Linked DNA regions of Sus scrofa. The protein of the gene in region 5 binds, or shares a complex with, the protein of the main gene of each other region. Links are inferred from orthologs where the notes say so. Each region holds a gene or a part of one and is shown on either strand. Other genes may lie near its edges. The genes, in order: SEM1, INTS12, INTS6, INTS4, INTS7, INTS9 and INTS2.

Evidence for each region.
Region 1: the proteins of INTS7 (region 5) and SEM1 are in contact, whole or in part, in a cryo-EM structure (PDB 8YJB), measured with the Homo sapiens proteins. The link is inferred for Sus scrofa from reciprocal best matches to the Homo sapiens genes INTS7 and SEM1. Residues at the interface, in NP_056249.1 of Homo sapiens: Lys410, Leu413, Asn414, Val417, Leu448, His451, Cys452, Ala454, Ala455, Met458, Glu488, Val491, Thr495, Leu517, Glu518, Ser521, Asn522, Gly523, Trp524, Val526, Tyr527, Arg528, Arg531, Gln532, Arg535, Ser548, Leu549, Thr551, Gln552, Val553; in NP_006295.1 of Homo sapiens: Ala36, His37, Val38, Trp39, Glu40, Asp41, Asn42, Trp43, Asp44, Val48, Glu49, Asp50, Phe52, Ser53, Gln55, Leu56, Arg57, Glu59, Leu60, Glu61, His63, Gly64, Tyr65, Lys66, Met67.
Region 2: INTS7 (region 5) and INTS12 share a complex: the UniProt entries of both Homo sapiens proteins name them as parts of the integrator complex. The link is inferred for Sus scrofa from reciprocal best matches to the Homo sapiens genes INTS7 and INTS12.
Region 3: INTS7 (region 5) and INTS6 share a complex: the UniProt entries of both Homo sapiens proteins name them as parts of the integrator complex. The link is inferred for Sus scrofa from reciprocal best matches to the Homo sapiens genes INTS7 and INTS6.
Region 4: the proteins of INTS7 (region 5) and INTS4 are in contact, whole or in part, in a cryo-EM structure (PDB 8RC4), measured with the Homo sapiens proteins. The link is inferred for Sus scrofa from reciprocal best matches to the Homo sapiens genes INTS7 and INTS4. Residues at the interface, in NP_056249.1 of Homo sapiens: Lys137, Asn138, His140, His141, Arg144, Gln145, Gly175, His205, His206, Asp207, Ala208, Ser244, Ser245, Leu246, Val247, Lys282, Thr283, Pro284, His285, Thr286, Thr321, Ile322, Lys325, His326, Gly686, Tyr689, Glu704, Gln707, Gln708, Leu711; in NP_291025.3 of Homo sapiens: Glu536, Met539, Asp540, Arg571, His572, Ala574, Tyr575, Asp578, Ser579, Ser610, Phe613, Arg620, Leu624, Leu627, Gly631, Glu634, Leu635, Phe638, Arg641, Asp642, Arg645, Leu646, Glu648, Leu649, Gln650, Lys677, Leu678, Trp679, Asn680, Val681.
Region 6: INTS7 (region 5) and INTS9 share a complex: the UniProt entries of both Homo sapiens proteins name them as parts of the integrator complex. The link is inferred for Sus scrofa from reciprocal best matches to the Homo sapiens genes INTS7 and INTS9.
Region 7: the proteins of INTS7 (region 5) and INTS2 are in contact, whole or in part, in a cryo-EM structure (PDB 8RC4), measured with the Homo sapiens proteins. The link is inferred for Sus scrofa from reciprocal best matches to the Homo sapiens genes INTS7 and INTS2. Residues at the interface, in NP_056249.1 of Homo sapiens: Leu38, Gly39, Glu40, Cys42, Glu43, Val46, Arg47, Asn77, Phe78, Leu81, Cys82, Leu84, Lys85, Gln88, Gln89, Asn114, Asp115, Pro116, Val117, Ala120, Ile121, Arg124, Val153, Glu156, Val159, Phe160, Ala163, Leu195, Lys196, Pro199; in NP_065799.2 of Homo sapiens: Gln27, Lys28, Val29, Cys48, Arg51, Met52, Cys55, Ala56, Ala58, Asp59, Gln60, Ser61, Trp64, Phe92, His93, Ala186, Glu187, Pro189, Ile194, Val218, Asp220, Ser221, Asn223, Glu224, Ser259, Leu262, Lys263, Arg265, His285, Gly294.

The regions. Positions count from the first base shown.
Region 1 is NC_010455.5:144,627,769-144,629,877, reverse strand, and holds SEM1 (26S proteasome complex subunit SEM1), read right to left. Parts: upstream 930-2,109; 5' UTR 878-929; coding exon 665-877; 3' UTR 501-664; downstream 1-500. UniProt on the Homo sapiens protein: Component of the 26S proteasome, a multiprotein complex involved in the ATP-dependent degradation of ubiquitinated proteins.
Region 2 is NC_010450.4:116,030,367-116,034,663, reverse strand, and holds the start of INTS12 (integrator complex subunit 12), read right to left. Parts: upstream 2,801-4,297; 5' UTR 2,662-2,800; intron 1-2,661. Other genes in the region: GSTCD (glutathione S-transferase C-terminal domain-containing protein), read left to right, coding at 2,833-3,034. UniProt on the Homo sapiens protein: Component of the integrator complex, a multiprotein complex that terminates RNA polymerase II (Pol II) transcription in the promoter-proximal region of genes.
Region 3 is NC_010453.5:16,441,276-16,444,775, reverse strand, and holds part of INTS6 (integrator complex subunit 6), read right to left. Parts: intron 440-3,500; coding exon 314-439; intron 1-313. UniProt on the Homo sapiens protein: Component of the integrator complex, a multiprotein complex that terminates RNA polymerase II (Pol II) transcription in the promoter-proximal region of genes.
Region 4 is NC_010451.4:12,355,771-12,359,270, forward strand, and holds part of INTS4 (integrator complex subunit 4), read right to left. Parts: intron 1,132-3,500; coding exon 998-1,131; intron 1-997. UniProt on the Homo sapiens protein: Component of the integrator complex, a multiprotein complex that terminates RNA polymerase II (Pol II) transcription in the promoter-proximal region of genes.
Region 5 is NC_010451.4:131,331,030-131,334,529, reverse strand, and holds part of INTS7 (integrator complex subunit 7), read right to left. Parts: intron 3,047-3,500; coding exon 2,840-3,046; intron 1-2,839. UniProt on the Homo sapiens protein: Component of the integrator complex, a multiprotein complex that terminates RNA polymerase II (Pol II) transcription in the promoter-proximal region of genes.
Region 6 is NC_010456.5:12,689,641-12,693,631, reverse strand, and holds the start of INTS9 (integrator complex subunit 9), read left to right. Parts: upstream 1-1,191; 5' UTR 1,192-1,496; coding exon 1,497-1,505; intron 1,506-3,937; exon of another isoform or gene 3,938-3,991. UniProt on the Homo sapiens protein: Component of the integrator complex, a multiprotein complex that terminates RNA polymerase II (Pol II) transcription in the promoter-proximal region of genes.
Region 7 is NC_010454.4:36,447,893-36,451,392, forward strand, and holds part of INTS2 (integrator complex subunit 2), read left to right. Parts: intron 1-614; coding exon 615-838; intron 839-2,847; coding exon 2,848-2,973; intron 2,974-3,500. UniProt on the Homo sapiens protein: Component of the integrator complex, a multiprotein complex that terminates RNA polymerase II (Pol II) transcription in the promoter-proximal region of genes.

The DNA.
Region 1 (2,109 bases), on a different chromosome or scaffold from region 5:
TGGGGATCCATTGATGGTTTTAAGTAGGGAGTGATGTGATCTAAGTAAGATTTTAAAAATATCACTCCAGCCATGGAGAATGGATTGAAGGAAGGGAAGGGTGAAAGGGAAATCGGAATTGACCCCAAAGGAACATTAATGTGCAAATGATTTATTCAGAAAATGTTTCTGGGGCAGCTGTTAGGAAGAAAGTAGGGGTTAAAAACATGCATGGGCACTATTTCATCACCATCTGGTGGAAGGAAGATGCTGTGCAGGGAGTTAGGAATTAAAAACCATTATAAAGTCTTCTGCCACTTTAGTCATTAAAATCCCTGATTTTTAGTTCCCCATCTATAAAATGGGGAAGTAAATCCTTACAGAACCATTGTGGAAATGAAATAAGGAAGTAAAAAGCTTTTATGAGAGCTAATATAATACAAATATTATATTTATAATATAAATAATGTTACTAATATTTTGTTGAAGATTTTTATGTCTATATTCATCAATGATACTGGTTTTTTTTTATTATATCAAACATTTATTTTTTGTGTTACAAAAACAAAAATAAGTCCAAGCAGGTAATGAAATAAACATTTTTTTAAGTGTCCCCCCTGGGTTCTCTGTTCCAGAATTTAGTAAACAGTTCAAATTTAGGTTGCTTCAACATTTCTTCTGGATGCTATGAGGTCTCCATCTTATAACCATGTTTCTCTAATTCAGCTCCTAACTGATTGGAGAAGTCATCCTCTACATTGTCATCATCCCAATTATCCTCCCAGACATGTGCATCTTCATCTTCATCTAAACCAGCCCAGTCTTCTGCAGGAAACTCCTCGAACTCGTCGTCCTCCTCCAGCAGACCCAAGTCTACCGGCTGTTTTTTCTCTGACATCGCGACCCTCAGTTCCCCAAACCTCTCAGGCCAGTGGAAAAGTTGGGATACTGGTTTTTAATTTTCTTTTTTGTTGTTTTTTTGGTCTGGTTTTGGTATTGGGGTGATGGTGGCCTCATAGAATGAGCTTGGGAGTATTCCTTCCTCTGCAAAGTTTCAGAAGGATAGGTGTTAACTCTTCTCTAAATGTTTGATAGAATTTACCTATGAAGCCATTTGGTCCTGGACTTTTGTTTTTTGGAAGTTTTAAAATCTTGGTTTCAATTTCAGAACCTGTGATTGGTCTATTCATATTTTCTATTTCTTCTGGTTCAGCTTTGGAAGGTTGTACCTTTCTAAGAATTTGTCCATTTCTTCTAGGTTGTCCATTTTATTGGCATGTAGTTGCTCGTAGTAGTCTCTTATGACCCTTTGTATTTATGTGTGGTCAGTTGTAATTTCTCCTTTTTAATTTCGAATTTTGTTGATTTGAGCCCTCTCCCTTTTTTTCTTGATGAGTCTGGCTAAAGGTTTATCAGTTTTGTTTATCTCTTCAAAGAACCAGCTTTTGTTTTATTGATCTTTTGTTTTCTTCATACTTATCTGATTTATTTCTGCTCTGAGCTTTTATGATTTCCTTCCTTCTACTAACTCTGGGTTTCATTTGTTTTTCTTTCTCTAGTTCCTTATTTGTAAGGTCATGTTATTTATTTGGGATTTTTCTTGTTTCCTGAAGTGAGATTGTATTGCTATAAACTTCCCTCTGAGAACTGCTTTTGCTGTGTCCTATAGGTTTTGGATCATTATGTCTTTGTTGTCATTTGTCCTATAGGTTTTGGATCATTATGTCTTTGTTGTCATTTGTCTGTAGGTATTTTTTATTTCCTCTTTGATTTCTTCAGTGAATCATTGCTTGTTTAGTAGCATATTTTTTAGTCTCTACTAGTTATTAGAGAAATTCAAATCAAAACTATAACGAAGTATCACCTCACACCAGCCAGAATGGCCATCGTCAAAATGTTTATCAATAATAAATGCTGGCGAGGGTAAGGAGAAAAAGGAACTCTCCTATGCTGTTGGTGGGAATGTAAGTGGTTGTAATCACTGTGGAGAACAATATTGATATGATCCAGCAATCCCATTCCTGGGCATCTATCCAGAGACAATCGTGAGTTGAAAAGATATATACACCCTAACATTCATTGCAGCCCTGTTTACAATAGCCAAGACATGGAAGCAACCTAAGTGTCCAT
Region 2 (4,297 bases), on a different chromosome or scaffold from region 5:
CCCACTCAGATCTCTCTTAAGCTCAAACCCCATATTTCTAATTGCTTAGTAGACATGTCTACCTAATTGTCCCAATGGTTTCTCAAATTCAATAAAGACTGAAATTGAGATTATGAATATCTCCTACCCCAAAGTTCCTTGTTCCGCACTTTCTTTCAATAAATGACATACTCTCCGTTAATCAGGCCTGAGGCCTACATTTTTGCCTGAGTCCTCCCCAATTCCTATATTTCAACATTTCTCACATTTGTTGCTATTTTCCATTTCCACTGCTACTACTCAGATTCAGGTCTTTATCAGCTTTTTGCACTGTAGCAATAATCTAGTGATTGTCTTGGACTTCAATACTGTTGCCATATTAATGTTCCTGTTAACACATCTCCCTATCTCCCTTCCTCCCTCCCTTCCTTCTTCTTCCTCCCTCCCTGCTTCCTTTCTTCCTCAAAAATTAAGACTTCCCATTCCCTTTAAAATAAAGCCTAACTTCTTGGCCTAGCATTTAAAAAGATTCAGTAGGAGATCCCATTCTGGCTCAGTGGAAACTAATCTGACTAGTAACCATGAGGTTGTAGGATTGATCCCTGGCCTCGCTCAGCAGGTTAAGGATCCGGTGTTGCTGTGAGCTGTGGTGTAGGTTGCAGACTCAGTTTGGATCCTGTGTGGCTATGGCTGTGGCATAATGTGGCAGCTGTAACTTCGATTCGACCCCAAGCCTGGGATCCTCCATATGCCTCAGGTGTGCACCCCCCCAAAAAAAAGACTCAATAACTGGCACAAAAACTAATTCTTCATCTCCAGATCTCCCATAGACCAGAATCATTAGCTGGACTTGCTACTTCTCAATTTTTTTTCTGTCTGGAGAGCTTTTTTACCCATTTTCATATTTCCATATCCTATCAAGACCCATGAGGGTACTGATGAGGACCCTACTCACCCAATAATACTAATAATCTTGCTGAATTCCCGTCGTGGCGCAGTGGAAACGAATTTGAACTGGAACCATGAGGTTGCGGGTTCAATCCCTGACCTCGCTCAGTGGGTTAAGGATCATGCGTTGCTGTGAGCTGTGGTATAGGTCGCAGACGCAGCTTGGATCTGGCGTTGCTGTGGCTGTGGTGGAGGCCTGCAGCTACAGCTCCGACTGGACCCCTAGTCTGGGAACCTCCATAAGCTGCTGGTGCGGACCTAAAAGGACAAAAGACAAAAATAAATAAATAAATAAATAAATAAATAATAATAATAATAATCTTGCCCTCCCCTGGGAAATCTTGGAGTGCATTCTCAAGGTACTGGAACTTTCTACCTTGAACCACAGTCTTTTTTTTTCTGTTTTCTTTTTTTTGCACATTTGTTATATTCTCTATAAATCTCTGACTACTTTAAGGGGAAAGGCTATCTTTTTACCATCACGTTTGTATTTTGTAAAGTACCAAAAAATAATGGCCAAAGAATTATTAGAGATCAAAGGATAATAGTTTTTTTCCTTCTACACAATTCTAATCATTTCCAAAGTCCCTCTGCAATAAGCAACAAAAAAGAAACTCAAAGCTATTACCACCCTCCAGACTCCTCCCACCCCCAATCCCACCTCAAGCCCTCAAATATCAAAAAAGCAAAAACAATACAAAGCAGAAAACACCTTTTTCATGACATGGGATTTGTACAATGTTCCTATCTGCATTACTCTCTACCCAATCCTCCATGTGATTTAAATTCATTAACCCCACTAGACTGTAAACTCCATGCAAGAAGGGAATTCTTTTATTCAGAACTGTTACATACCTAGTGCTTGGAATTTAACATATTCTCAAAAATATTTGTTGAGTGAATGCACTAGGGTTTTTTTAAATGTCACTTTCTAGGGCTTCTGTGATTTCTCCAACCTAAATTGGGTATTCATATATAAATATATGCTTTCCTCTAGATCCCATTATCTATCTTACAAGCTAACATTAAAAGAAGTCCAAAGTTGGAGTTTCACGTGCACGAGATGAAGGAAGCTGAACCTATTCAGGCAGAGTGCAATATTGGGGTTGCCACCTCAATAACGGCTCTAGAAAGCTTTGCCCTTTGCAAACTCATGCAACTCATCCTAATAAATACCCTTTTAAAGATACTGCCCTTTTTATTCCTCCTGGATCTTGGCCCTGGATTACACTGATGACCTTAGGCACACATCCGGAAACGACAACAGGCGGAAAGAACCTAATTCCAAACCAACCAACCGACAGAAAATCTGAAAAACGACACTCAGAAAAGGAATATCAATCTTCTGATCAAAGGCAAGACCCACCGAAGGCCTAACATCGGGAAGGGTCTTGACAAGTGAGCCCAATGAAGATGAGAGGAGGCAGAGGGAGCTGCACAGAGAAGTCGCCAAAACCTTCCGAGGAAGGTCCGAGACAGGGTTCCAAGGTCCCAATCCCTGGGGCTGTAACCTCGGTCCGCTGACCCCAGCCTGCAAAACCTTCGGGGGAAGCACGACCCCAACTGTAAGGGGAGAATGGTCAGACTGGGCATTCGACCGCCTGCAAATTATGAGTTTCCTCACAAGAGGCGAGGAAACTAAGACCGCACAGTACTACCGTCCCACTTCACCCCTCGCGGAGGTCTCAAGCCTCCCAGAGGCGGCTGGGAACCGAGGGGCTCGTCGCAACTCACCGCTCCGCCCCGCTGCTCCGTCCGTTCCCGGTGGCCTGACGAACAGGTCCCAGCACTAGCCCGCCGGGAGAGCGGAAAAACAAAAGTTCCCGCAGCAGGGTCGACTGGGGAACGTTTTCACTGTGCGACGGGAGGAAGTGACGTAACCACCTTCTTCCGGTGCGCCGGATTATGAATGACGGCAGGTGCTGCTGTTTCCCCGGCGCTGCTTCTGTTGTTTTTTTCCCTGCCGCGTGGAGCTGCGAGCGGTCTGCAGGCGAAGACTTCCTAAAGCGACCTCGGGAAACCCGGCTCGGGCGGGGCGGGAATGCGCTGGCGGCCAGTGTTGACACGTTCACGCACCCTCCCTGCCTGGCCGCGCCTCTGCGACCAGGTAAGGAGGGCGCTCGCGCCGCCGGCTCCTCAGTCCTCAAGACCCTGCAAAGACTCCTCTTTCATCCAGGGACCGGCAGGGTTGACGATGCGAAGAAGGGCGGGAAGAGTGGAGGGGTCCGGGCCCCTTCGCAATTTTTCCAGGGCCAGTCCCCATGGCTTCATTTACTGAAGGGGAAAGGAGCAGCTTCCAGTTGCAGCAGTCTGTTCGGTCGTTCGCCATTTGCTGCTAAGTGTAGTTAAGACCTCTTGGGTCACTCTTTTAACTTTTATCTTTTTTTCTACTGAGTTTTCTATTCCAGCCCTTCCTCATTGGAGAAAGCAGTAGTATGTGAATACTACCTAACAGTTGCTCCAAAGAACCCCCTACATTTTGGGCGATTTGTTTCTGCACTACCATCAAAGTAGCGTTTCACTTTGGTTTAAACTCCTATAGAAAGTTTGGGTTTAACTTGCATGAAAATTGCTTTTACTTCAGAAACGTTTACTAATACACGTACTTCCCACACCAATTCTACTTGGTTTGGGATTAGGTGACTGTTTGTTTGTTTCGGCTTTTTAGGGACACACCCTTGGCATATGGTAATTCCCAGACTAGGGGTCCAATGGAAGCTACAGCTGCCGACCTACACCACAGCCCTAGCAATGGGATCCTTAACCCACTGAGGCCAGGGATCAGACTAGTGTCCTCATGCACACTAGTCGGATTCGTTACTGCTGAGCCACATCGGGAACTCCTTTTCCCCTTATTCCCCCCCTTTTTTTTTTTTTTTTTTTTTTTTTTTTGCTTTTTAGGGCCACAGTCTAGGCATATGGAAGTTCCTAGGCTAGGGGTGGAATCTGAGCTATAGCCACCAGCCTAATCCACAACAACTCAGGATCCGAGCAAAGTCTGTGACCTACACCACCACTCAGGGCAAGGTGGGATCTGCGACCCACTGATTGAATCCATATCCTATGGATACTAGTCAGATTCATTTACACTGCGCGGCAATGGGAACTCCGCCGATACTCTTAAGGTCATGATCTCTTAATGCCGGGAGCCCATTCCTTGTCATAAGTTCTTGCCAACATTTAATAATAGATCTTGTGCTAAATTATTTAAGAAAGGTAGAGTATGTTTACATTTTTCTAAGCTTATCTAGGAACAGTGTTTAAAGGAGAAAAATGCAAAAGCTGGCAAGACTAGTGGTGTGACAATATAAACATTAACCATGGCCATTTAAATATTATGAAAATAAATTCTTTGCTATAAATTCAATTG
Region 3 (3,500 bases), on a different chromosome or scaffold from region 5:
GAAGTGTATATACTAGAGAATCATTGTTGCAAAACTAAAAAAGGAAATAGGCTAATCTGTAAATGCTTTAAAAAGGTTTTTGGCTCTTACAAATTCTTAGGGTTATGAACAACCAGTTTAAAAAGGTGATGCTACTGAACGACTAACATATTATCTTGACTTCCCTATTTAATCTTCCCTCTTTACTGACAGTCATTCTGTTATCTTATAATTTGGCCTTGTCAACGTTAAAGCCAAATCCTAGTAATTTTTCCGTTCTAGTTGAATACTTGATAAAGTAAGTTTAAAATGTCTGTTTAAAAAAGTACAATACCTTCTACAGGGGAAGGATCTGGTCCTGCTTTTTCAAAGTTTATTACTACCCCACTTTGTACTTTCTGCACCAAGGACTCCAGACACTGATTAAGCATCCTTGGAGAACATACAGAGTATGAGCGGCCTGAAATAAAAAGAATAAAGAGAACTTGTTAGTTGCAGAAATTACTACTTTTAGCAAAGAAGAACCCCAGTAGGATTTTTGACAATACTGATTTACAAAAATTCAATGATAAAGTTGACTTTTTCATCATCTAATGGAAGAATAACAAAACAAAAATAGTTGTCATCAATCAATCATGTAAATTTTTTCTTCTAATTAAAGGTATAAAGAAAATAGAAATCTTGGTCTGAACAAACCACAATGAAAAAAAATCACTACATATAATATATTGTGTGAGATGTGATTTTAAAATATATAAATATAAAAAACTATCTCCAACTGTTTTCCAATACAATTTAACTTTATTGTACATACACAGCATCTGATAACCCCCAAAAAATTTTACTCCTGCTTAAAAGAAGTATTATCACTAAAGAGTAATACTAAGGACACAGCAGATACTCAATAATTATTAATTGATCTGCTAGCAGGCACTGCATATTTTAAGTACTTGCACTTTAATATACAGATAGTAGCATATGGTTTTCTGACTACCCATCTTAAGTGAATTTCCCTCTTGTATATTTTAACATATATATATATATATATTTTTTTTTTTTTTTTTTTTTTTTTTTTTGCTTTTTTTAGGGCCGTACTCGTGGCATATGGAGGTTCCCAGGCTAGGGGTCTAATCAGAGCTACAGCTGCCAGCCTATGCCACAGCCACAGCCACGCCAGATCCAAGCCGTGGCTGTAACCCACACCACAGCTCATGGCAACGGCGGATCCTTAACCCATTGAGCGAGGCCAGGGATCGAACCTACAACCTCATGTTTCCTAGTTGGATTTGTTTCCACTGCACCTCTATGGGAACTTCCTGGGAACCTCCATATGCCTCAGATGTGGCCCTAAGAAGAAAAAAAAGAAAAAGGAAAAAATATAAATGGGAGTTGCTGCTGTATCCCAGCAGTAACAAACCTGACTAGTGTCTATGAAGATGTGGGTTCGATCCCTGGCCTTGCTCAGTAGGTTAAGGATCTGGTGTTGCCATGAGTTGTGCTATAGGTAGCAGATGCGGCTTGGTTCCCACACAGCTGTGGCTGTGGCTGTGGCTGTGGCATAGGCTGGTAGCTGCAGCTCCAATTCAACCCCTAGCCTGAGAACTTCCATATGCTGCAGGTACAACCTTAAGAAAAAAAAGAAAAGGAAAGAAAAGGAAAAGACACAAGTGCAAAGATTTCTTAAACCAGATTTTCAATAAATATATCTAGACCTATGCTATCCCATACTGCAGCCACTGGCCACACATGGGTACTAAGAACTTGAATCGTAGCTAGTCCAAATTGAGATATACAGTTATACACTGGATTTTGTAGATGCAAGATGAAAATAATGTAAAATACCTCATTTTTAAATATCATTTTCATGTTGAAATATTTTGTACATACTGATTTAAATATTATTGAAAATGATTTTTACCTGTTCTTTTTTAGTGACTATATAATTTATAATTATATATGTAACATATCATATTTCTATTTGTGTGCTGCTCTAGACCAGTGCTGAAAAATAACACCAAAAATCTTTAATCAAACATAATGTTATCTGTAATAAATTCAAAATGGCAAAATCCTATCTTTAACAAATTCAACAAATTATTACCAAACACGGTATATTCAATTTACACTAAACATGTGATTTGCTAAAGACTACTCAGGAAAGAGAGTATTAGGCAGTAGTATGATTCAAATCCTCAGAGTAAGCTTTACTTAGAAAAACAAGTATCACATAACAGATGGCTTACCTGTACACAACGAGAGCCATAATTATAAAAATATCCACCAATTATTGAGTGTCTATGTACCTGGCACTATTCTAATCACATAATTAAGAGTCTCATGTTCTACCGACCAAGCTTGTGCGGCGGCGCAATAACATTATTGTATTATTTTATCCTACCAACAATTGTATGGGTTACTTTTTCCATTTTCCAAAGAGAAAACTAAAGCACAGAGAAATTAACTAAGGTATCCAAGTTAGTATTCAGTAGTACAGCCAAGATTCAAACCCTTACAAGGTATATGAAACTTTCATCTGGATATACCTAGTTCCCTGAAAATCATAATGCTAATTCAAAATCAGTATTTAAAATAGGAAGTCTATATGGAATCATACTTATATGAATGAATTGTCAAATTAAAATCTTTTTTTCTGAGTAAATTTAAACATACACATAAAACAACACATTAAAAGGCTGATTGTCTTAAATCACAGAGTATTTAGAAAATTTTATAAAGGTTCAGTATCTTATTTCATGATATTTAAGGATATTCCCAAGATGTCATTAAAAAAAAAAAGTTTTTAAGTATAAAATGTGGCAATCCTCTCTCTACTCCCCTAACTTGTATCATTAACTAATTGATTAGAAAAATACAAGTAAATAAGTTATGACCTTTGCATGAAATAAAATTATTAGCAAAGACATTTTATAAAAATTGGAGAAAAAGTATATAAACTTGAAACACTTAGAAAATAATAAAAACCCATCAGTTCTTTTCAAAGTTAAAGCAAATTTTTCTATCTTTGCAAAGTGAACCTATAACCTATGTTATGTTTCTCTTATTCTTTATGTCAAAACTCACCTCCTGGAAATGTATAGCACTTTGTATTGAAGGATAAAATTTCTGGGATCCCTAATTATATCTGTGAGAAAAGCACACACTTTTAAGTCAAGGAGCTGGCTCACTTGTGGTTACGTAGGGTCCACAAAAAAATCTAAATATGATGAGTCTGAAGGCAGTAAAGTGAAAGAAAACAAAACAAAAACAAAACAAAATCTACTTTCCCCCCAGAGTATACTAGATGATGATTTTAATAAAATGGGTAAGAGACAAAAGGAACATTTCTAAGTTAGACAACACTCCTTATAGAGGCTAAGTTAAATTTTTATTTAATTGAAAAAAGTCTTGTAATTCTTGTAAAATGCTTTTTATCCTCAGTACTTCCACCAACATGTCCATTAGGCATGTTTTTATAATTTGATATAATCCCTGAGCCCCTCCTCAACCTGCTTCTCCTCTGA
Region 4 (3,500 bases), about 120 Mb from region 5:
TTATAATTCACTACAAATTTTTTTCTTTCTGTATCTCTAAGCTTTAAAAATAATAAAAATTTTGGGAGTTCCCATTGTGGTGCAGCGGAAACGAATCCAACCAGTATCCTTAAGGTTAGATCCCTGACCTTGCTCAGTGGGTTAAGGATCTGGTGTTGGCATAAGTAGGTGGTGTAGGTAGCAGACAGACTTCAGATCCCACGTGGCTGTGGCCAGCAACTGCAGCTCTGATTTGACCCCAAGCCTGGGAACTCCATATGCTGTAGGTTTGGCCCTAAAAAAGCAATATAAAATAAATTTTGGAGTTCCCTGATGGCCTAGCAGTTAAGAATGCAGCATTGTCACTGCTGTGGCTTGGGTTCAGGCCCTGGACCAGGAACTTCTGAATGCTGTGGGCAGGGCCTAAATAAATAAATAAATATTATTATTAAAAAATAAATTTGAGAATCATAGCTTCACGTAATATAACATGATTTGATCTTTGATTTGAAATATATTGTTCCAGATTCCTTCTTTTTGCCTAATCCAACATAATTAATAACCCAGGATATTAAAAATGAATTGCCTTAAAAGGTAAGGAAGGAGTTCCAGTTGTGGCTCAGTGGTAACAAATCATGTGGATTCAGGTTCGATCCCTGGTCCCGCTCAGTGGGTTAAGAATCCTGCGTTGCATTGAGCTGTGCTGTAGGTCGAAGATGAGGCTCCAGATCTGGCCTTGCTGTGGCTGTGGTGTACGCCAGCAGCTGAAGCTCTGATTCAACCCCTAGCCTGGGAACTTCCATATGCTGCACGTGTGGCCCTAAAAAAAGGGGGAAAAAAAAGGTAAAGGATACAGAGAAGCAAAAGTGCAAAACAATAGGAGAGCCCAAGAATGAATAAATATGTTTTCAGAGACTATACAGCTTGCTTTCTACTATTTAACAACCACAAAGGACTAAAAATCAAAACAAAATAGAACAAAACAAAACAAAAAAGACAAAAGATGTTTTCAACATACCCTCAAGGCAGGAACAAGATGAGAAAGACTGTCTCGGAGGTAAGCATAGTGCCTGAAGGTATGATCGGAGAACAATGCTGGCATTGTTGGACATGTTTTAGCAGCATTGAAAATAAGAACCAAAACTGCAATGTCTGATGGATAAGTGGGTTAAGTAAACCTGGAGACATAAAAGGTTGAGCCTGGACAGAATTTGGTGCCTCTACTTCCCGACCTCTCAATTCCCATTAAATAACTACCGTTTCTAATAAAGAAACACAAATTCAAGAAATACATTACCCCGCTCCAAATTACTCCAATTACTCATCCAATTATCAAAAAAAAAGGTCTGCGGTTGTTGTTTTTTAACGGCCACACCTGCGGTACGTGGAAGTTCCTGGACTAGGGGTCAAATCTGAGCTGCAGCTAAGGCCGATGCTGCAGCCATGGCAACATCAGATCCCAGTCGGATCCTTAACCCACTGAGCTACGCCAGGGATCGAACCTACATCCTCCAGAGACAATGTCAGGTCCTTAACTTACTAAGCCACAACAGGACCTCAAAAAGGTTTTTTAAAATAATGCCTGCTGCTGAGAATATAAATAATCAAATAGAAACTTTTGATATATTGCCAACTTAAGTACATACTGGCACAATCCCTCTGAATAATAGTTTGATACCAGACAGGAAGAGTCTTGGGAATGTATAATAATTCCACATCTCAAAATCAAACCACAGAATCATTTGTGATAGCAAATAATCACAAACAACCTAAATGTCCAAAACCAGGAGAATGACTACACAACTTCTGTTTCATCTACTTAATGGAGTATTACATAACCATTAAAAATTGTATTTATAAAAGACTCTTTTTTTGGTCACACCAATAACATGTGGAAGTTTCTGGGCCAGGGATCAATTCCATGCCACAGAAGTGACCCCAGCTGCTGCCATGACAATGCTGGATCCTTAACCCACTGAGCCACAGGGGAGCTCCTATTAAAGACCTTTAATATTATATCATAAGCATTTTGTCATAGTGAAAAAAGCAGGCTCTATATGTAGAGAATATGACAGCAGCTATCTATCATCAAATATTTGCCTAATAAAATGAAATGTTAAAAAAAATAAAAAGGAGCTCCATTGTGGCACAGAGGGTTAAGAACCAAACTAGTATCCATGAGGATTCGGGTTCCATCCCTGGCCTTGCTCAATGGTTTAAGGATTCAGCACTGCCATGAGCTGCAGTGTAGGTTGCTGACTCGGCTCAGATCTGGCATTGCTGTGGCTGTGGTATAGGCCAGCAGCTGCAGCTCCAATTTGAACGCTAGCCTGGGAACTTCCATATGCCACAGGTAAGGCCATAAAAAGAAAAAAAATTTTTAATTAAAAAAATAACAAGAGTTCCCACTGTGGCGTAGAGTGGGTTAACAACCCAGCATTGCTATCTGTGGCAGAGGTCACAGGTATAGCTGAGATTCAGTTCCTGGCCTGGGACTTCATATGCCACAGATACAGATGAAAAAGGAAAAGAGGAGTTACTCATCATGGCACAGTGGTTAATGAATCCAACTAGGAACTATGAAGTTGTGAGTTCAATCCCTGGCCTTGCTCAGTGGGTTAAGGATCCAGCGTTGCTGTGGCTGTGGTGTAGGCCAACAGCAACAGCTCTGATTAGACCCCTAGCCTGGGAACTTCCATATACCAGGGAAGCGGCCCTAGAAAAGGAAAAAAGACAAAAGAAAAAGGAAAAGAAACCCACAAATTCCAAACCCAAGCTTTTAAAAAGGGAGAAGGAAACATGTCAAAATATTAACTGTAGGAGTTCCCTGGTGGCCAAGCAGTGAAGAACATGGTTTGTCACTATTGTGCCTGGGGTTCGATCCCTGGGCAAGGAACTTCTGTATGACGAGGGCAGGACAAAAGAAACTTGACTGTCAATTATTGTGAATAGTATGATTCTGGGTACTAAATATGAAATTTCTTCTTTCTATTTTAAAATTGTTTCTATGTATATTAATTTTATAACAGAGGGAAAATCAGAAATTAAAAGACATACCTTCCAATCTTTGCATGTATCCCTATGGCAAAGCCTGCTATTTGCCTACCTAATATCCACTGTTCCCTTGTCTTCACTAATAGAATACTGATTTTATTCCAAATATCCTCTGACTTCCTGATTAGAACCCAGACCTGATGACTGGAGTTCTAGCAACAATTCTGGACAACTGAAAATGGCAGGAGAGAAAAACAGAAGGGGCCTGGATTACCAACAATAATGTAGAGCTGCTATACCAGCGCCAGACTCCTTACCTCAAGACCTCTTTTATGTCGGGGGAAAAAAATTCTAATTAATATTGATTCTACATTTGGGGCCAGTCTCTGTCACTTACATACTTCTTAAATAACACAATGTTCCAACTACCCAGAAAAATACATTAACATAATATGCTTCCAAAAGTGTTTACCTTTTTTTTTTCAGGCCACTTTAATATGTCCTGGGGAATGTGTAACAGCATGTAT
Region 5 (3,500 bases):
CGCGGCTCGGATCCCGCGTTGCTGTGGCTCTGGCGTAGGCCGGTGGCTGCAGCTCCGATTGGACCCTTAGCCTGGGAACCTCCATATGAAGTGGGGGCGGCCCAAGAAATAGCAACAACAACAACAACAACAACAAAAGACAAAAAAAATTAAAAAAAAAAAGACTATGCCAGATCCTTTAACCCACTAAGTGAGGCCAGGGATTGGTTCATGAGTGAACCCGAATCCTCACGGATACTAGTCAGGCTTTTAACCCACTGAGCCACAATGGAAACTCCAAAGGCAATCTATTTTTGAGAAGCTAATTTAGGTCCCTAACGAGCTGACTTTATACTAATCAAAAAGGAGATTATTCTGGGTAGATCTCGCTTCATCAGTTGAGTTCTTTAAAAGAGGGCCTTGAAGGTAAGAGATTCCCCTGCTGGCCTTAAAGTTTCCTCAGGTCTTACAGCTGTGAGGAACTGAATCCTGCCAACAACTGCATGAGTTCAAAAGAGGACTCTTGAGTCCAGGCTTCACACAAAACTGGCTCTGAACAACACCTTGACAGTAACTTCGTGACAACATGAGCAGAGGCCCCAGCGAAGTCACACCTGGGCCCTTGGAAACCGTAAAATAGTAAATGGGTGTTGTTTTAAGCCACTAAATTTATAGTAATTTTTTACATAGCCCAGAAAGCTAATATGAACGCTTTTTATAATTTATATTCCTAAGAAGCAAGATAACACCAGCATTAATCACTGTATGGGGAAATTCAGACACCCAACACTGCTATAGAGTCCCTCTAAGCATGGAATCTTTAACTTCTGTTTGGCTTGGCTGAAGTAGGTAAAAATACAGTCCTCACAGCTGAGTCTCGGGTCAGCTCATTCAGGTGTCAAGGAGTGAGAGGGTGAGTCATGCTCACACCATCTCGATTAAAAAGGGGAAAGTCACCATCAGGTCCTCACTTGTCAGAGAGATTTTTTAAAAATCTTGCGGAAATCCCGAGAGTGCGGTATACTCAGAACTGAGAGAGGTTCCAAACAACAGTAAGGATCAGACTGCCTCCCCCCCCGGATTCTTCTCAAGCACATCGTCATCTCTGGACCTCTTTTTTGACTCCTCAAAGCAGGGTTTGGCACATAGCCAGTGCTCACAGTCTGCTGAATAAAGCAACTCCGTTTTAAGAGGTGATCTGAGGCCCAAGAACCTGCCTTAGGTCACATGGCGCGAACGGCTGAACGGAGACGGACACAAGGGCCTTCTGACAGCCCACTGCGGTCCTCCTACATCAGAATCCAGCCCTTACCTACTGCCAAGCCTCCTTAAATACTGAGAGCACACAAACCATTAAATGACCATTAAATGTGCAATGGAGTTTTTCTTAATATTAATTGCATCTGCCTCACTGTTCTGTGAATCTCTCTCTCAGTTCTTACCACTTACTGCACCACTTACTGTTAAACCATTAACAATTTTTTGTTCCACATAAATTAGAAAATAGAATAATTCTACTGATTGGCGCCAACAACTATTCTTTGACTTTCTGAGCTATTTATTAGCTTGAAATAGGCAACAACAAACTCTTACGAGTTTTGATAATCATGACGAGAGAATCATGTAGTTAAAGTTACCCCTTAAAACGGTGAGGAGCCATTCCTACATTCCTGTTTTTTGTTTTGTCTTTTTCCTTTTTAGGGCTGCACCTATGGCACATGGAGGTTCCCAATTCCCAGGCCAGGGGTCGAATCGGAGCTCCAGCTGCTGGTCTACGGCACAGCCACAGCAACTCGGGATCTGAGCTGCATCTGTGACCTACACCACAGCGCATGGCAACACCGGATCCTTAACCCACTGAGCAAGGCCAGGGATCAAACCTGCGTCCGGATGGATACTAGTCGGGTTTGTAACCCACTGAGCCACACTGGGAATGCCCTATATTTCTGTTCCAAAACAGCCATCAATCAATCCCAGCTCCCTCCAAAATCATTCTTCAAAAGATGTGTATCCACAGCCATCTGAACAGTCTGTCTCTTCGGTGACGTCTGTTTATTCTCTGTTCTACTCTGAAGCGTTTCTTTCTGGATACATTACATTTATCTAATGTAAAAAGACAGTTTACATTATGTGATAAGTGAAAAAGGTAGATACACAGGTACCCAAAGTTTTACGGCCCTATCTAAATATATACAATTTTTAAGGTTGTGTGACAATGCTTTAAACGTGTTCAATGGTGATTAAACTCTTTACTCTTAAGGGGAAAAAGTCCTCACATTAACAGAGAAAAGGCTCATTTTAGGGAACAGGCTCTTATTTAGGATTATAACTAGTTTCAAGAAAATGTTAAGGATCTGATCTCTTTTTCTTGGTAGAAAAAAATGGAAAATACAGCTGGTTGTTCATTTGGAGTAGAGGGTATCACCAAGGGGTAAAAAGTGATCACTTGCTTTTTATTTACAAAGCAAGAAGCTCTAGTTTCTTAGTGAGTAGCCGCCAGTGATGGGAAGGGCTGGGTCTGGCGGCAGCAGCGACCCAGGCTGCGGTCTTCCCAACAGCAGTCTGGAAAGGGAGCATCCTACCTCCGCTAATTCTTTCTGCCTGGACTGTGCAATTCCCCTCCACGTGTCTATCGGACACTTGATAAAAAACCAAATGATAAATGTGCATCAACCCATGAACGTTAAAAAGTCGGGCAGGGGTTCATGACCTACCGTCACGTCCTACGTCTTATTTTAATACTTCCAAATACATACATATTAGCAGGGTTTTCAAGGTGAAAACGGGACAGCCCCCGGAAGCAAAGGGACACCATCCTCACACAAGCCATCACCGCCCAAGGAAAATGAGGAAGACTCACTGTTAAGGAAGCAATCCCTTTGTGGTAGAATTTCAGGGACTCAGCAATGCAAGAAAGTGCTGAACTAGCGTCGTCCTCCTGCAGGCCGGTGAGGCACTGCTCCGCGTGTGAGAACTCCTTCAGACTGTTGAGCCAGAAGTGGAGATGCTCCGAGGCGACCTGCGTCAGCAGGCTCTGGTACAGCTCTCCGGCCATGTCGTGACTACCCTGAAAGAAAGCCGGGAGGGCCCAGGATGAGGGTCTTACCCTTGAACCAGCTGCGGCAGCACCTCCAACAGAAGCCCAAACCTTGGATACGTTTTAGCGATCGTGCCTCCCGCTCTGTAACTCCGAGGGACTCGGTCTCCTATTTCTCCCGAGAAACCATGCCGAGCTGCTTTGCTGTAACACACGCCTGAAGTTCTTTAGCCACACAACAGCTCCGGAGAGAAGATAAACGCAATGAGCTACAACCCGAGGCGAGCCATGTAGTTCCAAACAGGCCCTTCCGCACGAGCTGTTCAGTGGTGTGGGGAGAACCCCAGCCACTTTTCCTCCAGTGGTGACCGGGGGAGGCGAGGGAGGGGGCTGAGTGCCCTGTGAGGCCGGGGCGATGGATGCCCAGGGTCCTGCTGCAGCTGGAGGCGTGGCACAGCTGAGGATGCGGGCGCAGCGGCGGCCT
Region 6 (3,991 bases), on a different chromosome or scaffold from region 5:
TTTCCTTTCCCACCTAGCTACCGACTTCGGGATGCAAAAAGCCATCCACACAGCATCTCACGTCTACAGTGCTCCTACCCTGAGTTTGGGGTTGGGATGTGTCCCTGGGAGGATGGGAGAAGGAGTGTGAGCGGGCGATGGGACACAAACGACTTGCTCCCCACGGCCACCCCGCGCCGCGGCGCCAGCCCAGAGGTCCAGGACCCGCACCTCGCGCACGCTTCTCCGCCCAGGCCCAGCTAAAAGCTCCGACTCCGTCTCCCGAACTTCCTCTCTAGAGACATTTATTCAAGGCTAACACATCACCCAAGTACACGTCACCCAGTTTCAAATACAGTTCTGCACCCCAAACAAACCCACACCTCAAATTCCCCTCACAGTTTCCCAAACTCCAAACAAGAGACCCCACCTCCAGGATTCAAACCTTCCGCCCACCAAGGAGGTAACCAGGAGGAAAGAGTTAGGGAGCAGCCGACGCCTTTCCATTTTCGCCCCCCACAAACTGCCCCACCCCAGACCCTGCGTCCGGGTCACCCCCCTCGGAAGCCCCACGCTTCCTCCCTCCTCTCAGTCGGGCCGCCTAAGAGACCCACCCCCGGCCCACTCACTTTCTCTCCCAAACCCCTCCAAAAAGAAAAAAGAAAAAAAGTGAAGAGAAAGAAGTGAAGAAAGAGACTTGAGGGAGCCCGCCTTCCAAATCGCTCGACTCACCTCAGAATCCTTGCTGAGTTCTCTCCGCCCGGCACAGCCCCCTCCCCAACGTCCCAGTACGAAGGGCTGAGGTAGGGAGGAGGGGAAAGCGGGAGGGGGAGGGGTGTCTTCCGCGTGGGGCGCCCGTCGGGAGGGGACTGGGGAGGGGTTGAGGCCGGCGCAGGAAGAGGAGAAGGGGGAGGGGAGGCCCCTATCTCCCAGTCTCCCCCTGAAAACCTCCCTTGTCTCAATCACATCAGACTGACTGTCTTTGTCTGGCTGACAACCGCCATATTGATATCAACAGCCCCGCTCCCACCTGCTGCCGCCGGGCGGCCCTGGGAGTTGTAGTTTCTTACTCCCTCGAGTAAAAGCGCGGGACTCGGCGCCCGGAGGCCCTGGGGGACTACAGCTCCCGGCAAGACCTGCGCCATTCGCCTTCCCACAGGGAGGAGGGGAAAGGGGCGCCAGAGTCGTAGGGACTACACATCCCAGAATACCGTGGGCTCTGGGCCCAGACAGGGGACATGATATCATGCTGGGATGGAGAGGGAGAATGATTTGGCGGCGGGGAAGAATTTGAGCCGAAGGAAGGAGGAAAGAGAGAAAAAGGAAAGATGACCACAGTTCCCATGATGCAAGAAGACAGGACTACATTTCCCATGATGCATCCGGAAGGGGGCGTAGGGAAGAAAGACTGCATGTCCCGCGATGCTCGAGGCTGGCGGGTGGCGGAGATTGAACCGGAAGAGGCTTTCTGGTTCTGAGGAGTCCAGTGACTGATATTGAACAACCTAAAGTCCAATATGAAATTGGTGAGTCTCTGCTCCTAGGTCAGAGGGCAAAGGTGATGCCATATCCTTTTGGACTTCGTCGTTTCCAACTTGTGGTGGGAACCGTCGCGGAAGAGGGGTGGCAGTTAGAGACTTAGAAAGTGGGGTGAACCAAGGAAAGCTGCTCCTTGTGGTTGAGTTTGAATCCCACCTCCCACCCCCGACCCCCAGATCTTATTTATCCCTTGGCGGCTCCTGTGGTTAGATAAGAGATTGACTCTGTCACCTTACTTCACACACGAACTGAGGTTGGGCTTTATGAACTAGGTTTGACTGATTTCACAGCTGCCATGTGAGTTTTATAATTGGTTAACTTCTTTCCACGCGATTGGCGTTTGATTAGCGTTTCTTACAGTTTTTGAAAAGGCTTTGGTTACATATGAGCAGAGTTTAGAAAATATTGGGCAGAGTAATCACTTAAGTTTTCTGTTATAGACTCCTAACTGTCTTTGATATTCAGAGAAGGACGAGATCATGGTATGGTATGATCGTGGAAGATTTAAGTTTTAAACCCTGTATAATATGGTTTAAGTGTCAAGGCATTCAGTCTAGGGCTGTAGGGACTGTATGAGCCAAGATTAGATGGAGCCTGCCAGGATACCTGGAAAATTCTCTGCATCACAAAACTCAAAACACTTGGCTTGTAGGGAGGCTGCTCAGGCCTTTATTTTGAGCCACGTTACTCTGTGTGCACACAGATTTAGCTACTTTAACTAGTTTATTCCAACTGTATGGTATTAGTAGAAAAGCAGGTGTGAGATGCTGTTTCTCAACCTCTTAAAATTCGCATTCCTGCAGCCAAGTGTTGTAAATCTTTACTTTCCTGTAATTTTAGTAGAAAAATAAAATGTGCATTTTCTTAATTGTTTGAGCATGCTTTTCCAAAGTGTGCAGCCCAGGCTGGTGCCTGCACACACACGCTAAGGGCCTGTGCTCTTCAGAGTTTCAGCTGTTTTCTGAGGAGTCAGAGAAATAGAAGTAGATTCAACACTAAAGCTGTTTAGGTAAGGAGAAGGACACAGATCAGTAAACCTTGAGGATATCAATTTGCTTCTGGGTCAGTTTTCAAGACATGTAAAAATGCCAAATTGAAAGTCACCACCCATATCCAAAAGAAGTGTGCAATGAAGAAGATACAAAAGTAATAAATGATATTTCACTGTTTTCATGGTAAATGGAAGCATGTTCAGTGTTTAGGGATTTAGAGGATGATGGGGGTTGGGGGAGTGGGAGACAGCTCTATGGAAAGGAGACTCTTTAACAGTTAAGCAAGGTGAGTAGGCTAGGGCTTTCCTTGAAGAGGGTTCAGCTTTAGAAGCAAAAGAGCTTTGCACCTGAGTGCTTGAAATAAAGACCATGTTTTCTTGATAAAGGATAAATCACATTTGGTATGTATGCTCGGTGCAGAGGCAGGAAAATGGAAAACAGTTCTTTTCCATAATAGCTCATTTGCTGAGGGTATCAGAGAGTTAGGGTTTAGTTTACATATGCTTTGGTTTGCTTATGAAATCCTCCTGCTTACCTCATTTAAAGAAGATAAAAAAGGGGGAAAGAGAAACTATTTTTCTTTCAAGAATCATAAAATGCCTTAGAGGAATAAGGTAGTTGATGATTCTGTGAGAATATCTATTGACACAGCAAAGTGTTTCAAGAACACTGACACTCAGTAAGCAGGCTTCTTTTTTGTATCATGCCTCCCATAGAGTTGGAATAAATTTTCCTAGGGCCTAAAAATTTTTAACTTTGTGTACTGCTTCCTGAATATGTGATAAACCATGTTTTGTATTTCTATCATGAAACACAGAAATATTTTTTATAGAGTACATTCTTGTTTTGGAGATTATGACTTCCCCAAACACCCTTCCCACGTACAATCTATGACCATATCTTGGTGATTCTGCAGTTCTTAAACTGGTCTGTTTCTCTCCAGTACCACCAATACAGCCTTTGTAGGGGCTCTTTTCACTTGACACTTGAAATTCAACAAAACCTTCTAACTGGTCTCCCACCCTCAAATCCATTCCCTACTCCATGCCCAGAAGTTGTTTTAAATTGCAGTGTTCCTTTAAAACCCTTTGGTAGCTTCCTTTGCCCTTAGGATAGTCTTAAAATTATTTTTTTGTTGTTCTGTTTTAGAGTTTTGTGGTTTTGGGGTTTTTATTTTTTATTTTTGGTTTGGGAGGGGTTTTTTGGCCGCACTTGCGGCATACAGAAGTTCCTAGGCCAGGGATCAGACCCAAGCCACAGCATTGTCAATGCTGGATCCTTAACCTGCTGAGCCACAAGGGAACTCCTTAAAATTCTTGACTTGACTTGCTTGATCCTGTAGATTCTGGCCCTGCTGACTTCTCCAGGCTAATGTCTAGCTCTCCTCTCTTGACCTCCTTGTTCCGTTTGTATTGTATGTCTTTCAGTTCCTTGAAGTCCGCCTGCTCTCTTTTGCCTCTGGGACTTTAAGTGTGTTCCAT
Region 7 (3,500 bases), on a different chromosome or scaffold from region 5:
CCGCAACCTCATGGTTCCTAGTTGGATTCGTTAACCACTGCGCCACGACGGGAACTCCCAATTCAACTATTTTTATTGAGTGCTCGCTATATGTCAGGCACAGTACGTCAGACCTTGCTGAGTAATAGATGACTGGATGTTATCCCTGTCTGAAGAGCTGTGGAGGTGATGGACTTGTAAACTCCTAAGTGCAGCAGTCCTGGGAGTTAAATGTTTTAATAAAATAGTCATTTCCTTGTCATTTAAGGAATTGGGGTTAATAGCAGAGATGTTGTATAAACCCAAGCTCTTGTGTCTCCAAAATGTAAGCACTTTGTACATATGACTCCACTAGTCATTATGTATTTGAAAACATCATTTATATGAGATTTAACATTTCAGATTGTCATTATTTAAGTGTATCCTGTACAGATAGGCCAAATTAGGGTGAGTAGAGTATTTGTCAAGTGAACCAGTGAATTTAGAGTTTGCTTGATTGATTAAAATGAGATTCTGTAGTTATGACAGACTCCTCAAATGGGTCAGTTTCAAGTGGAGAGCTTTGTCTGAGCTTCTTTTTGACTTCGTAAGTGTTCCATGCTTTCTCCCTTTTGTGGTCCTTATTTCTTGCAGAGAAAAGAGAGACCAGTAGTTCTGTCCTTTGGCAAATGAGGAGGCAGCTTCTTCTGGAGTTGATGGGCATTCTTCCCACAGTAAGAAGTACCCGCATTGTGGAAGAAGCTGATGTGGAGATGGAGCCCAATGTGTCTGTGTATTCGGGGCTGAAAGAAGAGCATGTTGTGAAAGCCAGTGCGCTCTTACGTCTGTACTGTGCTTTGATGGGGATCGCTGGACTAAAGTATTCAATAATTTGATATTTTACTTTTTTATCATTTTATTTTCTCGTTTCTAATCCCCAGAAAGTGAGCCATAGGCTTTTTATTCAGATGTAGGTTTTCTGTTTGGCTTACGTAGTGAGCTGGCCTATGTCAAGAATGAATTCCTGGAGTTCCCTTGTTGTGCAGTAGGTTAGGGATCCAGCATTGTCACTGCTGTGGCTCGGGTTGCTGATGTGGCCTGGGTTCGATCCCTGGCTCGGGAACTTCATCATGCTGCAGGTGCAGCCAAAAAGAAAAAAAAAAAAAAAAAAAAAAGAATGAATTCCCAAGGCAAAACATTCCCAGTTGGGATGTATCCATCTATTTCGGTCTGATTATAAATCGAATTATGTAAGGATGGGAGGGGCCAGAGCAGTGTAAGAAATGTATGACTGCACCACAGCTTGATGTGACTACAGTGAATAATCTGTGAGTGATCCTTTAACCTAGTGTAGGCAGCTAGTTGAAGTAAGCGTATCCTATTTCTTTTACAGCTGAGATCATAAATTATTTACAGATGATATGTGATTATTAAACACAAGATTTCTTAGTCACTGTATTACATCCTTTTGAGTGATATCCTCAACTGTTGTAAGTAGAGTCCTTGGTTTGCATGTTTCCAATACCATGGAAACACATTATTTACCACACTTTAGTTAAATAACACCGCTCCCTCGACAGCTCATGTATCAGTTACCGTGAAACCTTAACCAAATTATTGTCTCAAGAGCAAACTTTGCCGAGAGCTTTTCAAGCCCCACATCGCTGTATAAACAAAAGACGCACATGGTGATCAGTGACCAGTCACATCATTTCTTCTAAAATCTTTTGGTGACTGCTCACCATCCAACTATTACTATCAGTTCATGAGCAGACAACACAGTGGATAGTTGTATTGCCTCCTTGTCTCTCAATGAATAAACCCATGTGATAGTTGGCAAAACTAGAATTAAAAGAGGGAATTGGCCAATAAAAATGAAAGTGTAGCAAAGAAACAAAAAATGGGTTAACGCTGGAGTGACGTATGAACCAAAACGTAAATAGAAGAAATAGCTGACTGTGAGAATGGTCTGACTGCTTCCACTTGAGAGACCCTAAATGGGTGGCCAGATGAATTTAGTGAAGGCGAACTTGAGGATAGTCATTGTGACAGAAAGAATGAAGACCCAGGGACCAGTGGTGGCAACAATCTTCACTTTAAAGTAGCTCTCAGGTATTTCATGACTGAAATATCAGCACATATTTATAATATATAAGCATATATATATATATATATATATTTATTTATTTATTTATTTTTTTGGTCTTTTTGCCTTTTCCAGGGCTGCTCCTGCGGCATATGGAGGTTCCCAGGCTAGGGGTCTAATCAGAGCTGTAGCTGCCAGTCTACACCAGAGCCACAGCAACACCGGATACGAGCCACATCTACAACCTACACCACAGCTCACGGCAATGCCATGATCCTTAACCCACTGAGCAAGGCCAGGGATTGAACCCGCAACCTCATGGTTCCAGGTCAGATTCGTTAACCACTGTGCCACGATGGGAACTCCCTAAGCATATGTTTATGATATAATACAAAGCATAAGATGTTGGTAGCTGATCCAAGCTTAGAGGGGGGTTATGATAAGTCACCAAGGCTTAGAGAAGATGCTCATTCCATATTGTAAGTTATATGACGAGAAGGTGACAAGGGCCATTCAAACTACTCTTGATAAATCTTTCACAAAGAAAACATTGTAATTCCCACTGTTTCTAAAATATTCAATTATACAATGCTATATACACTAGTTTTACTATTTAAAAATATTTCCCTGTGCATTATAACCAACAGAGTTTTTAATGTCGACAAAAACTTAACATCTTACAATATTACAGATTTTATAAATTTTATAAAGCTCAAGATCTGTCTAAAAGGTTAAACTGTTGAAAAGTCCCTTCTTTTACTCAACTGAAAAAAGTAAAGCCTGGTAATGTGTTCCTTTTTTAGACCAACTGAGGAAGAAGCGGAGCAATTACTGCAGTTGATGACAAGCCGACCTCCTGCTACACCGGCTGGGGTTCGCTTTGTTTCACTTTCCTTTTGTATGCTACTGGCCTTTTCTACACTTGTCAGGTATCTAACTATATAATTGTTCTATTTTCTAAAGGTCTGCTTTTGTGTATTTATTAAAGCACAGCCTTAATAAGGAGCTCACTACAAAAATGGTGTAAGGGAGTTCCTGTTGTGGCTCAGCAGTAATGGACCCGACTAGTAACCGTGAGAACTCGGGTTTGATCCCTGGCCACACTCAGTGGGTTAAGAATCCGGCATTGCCATGGACTGTGGTGTAGATCACAGATGTGGCCTGGATCCTAACGTGGCTGTGGCTGTGGTGTGGGCTGGCAGCTGCAGCTCCGATTAGACCCCTAGCCTGGGAACTTCCATGTGCCATGGGAGTGGCCCTAAAAAGACCAATGAACAAACCCCCCAAACAAAACAAAAAACCCCCCAAATGGTGGAGGTTTAAGTTCTCTAGTGGTTCATCAGGTTAAAGACCTGGCATGGCCACTGCTGTGGCTCGGTTTGCTGCTGTGGATGGATTTGATCCTTGGCCTGAGAACTTTTGCATGCTGTGGGTGTGGCCCCCCCCAAAATAGTGT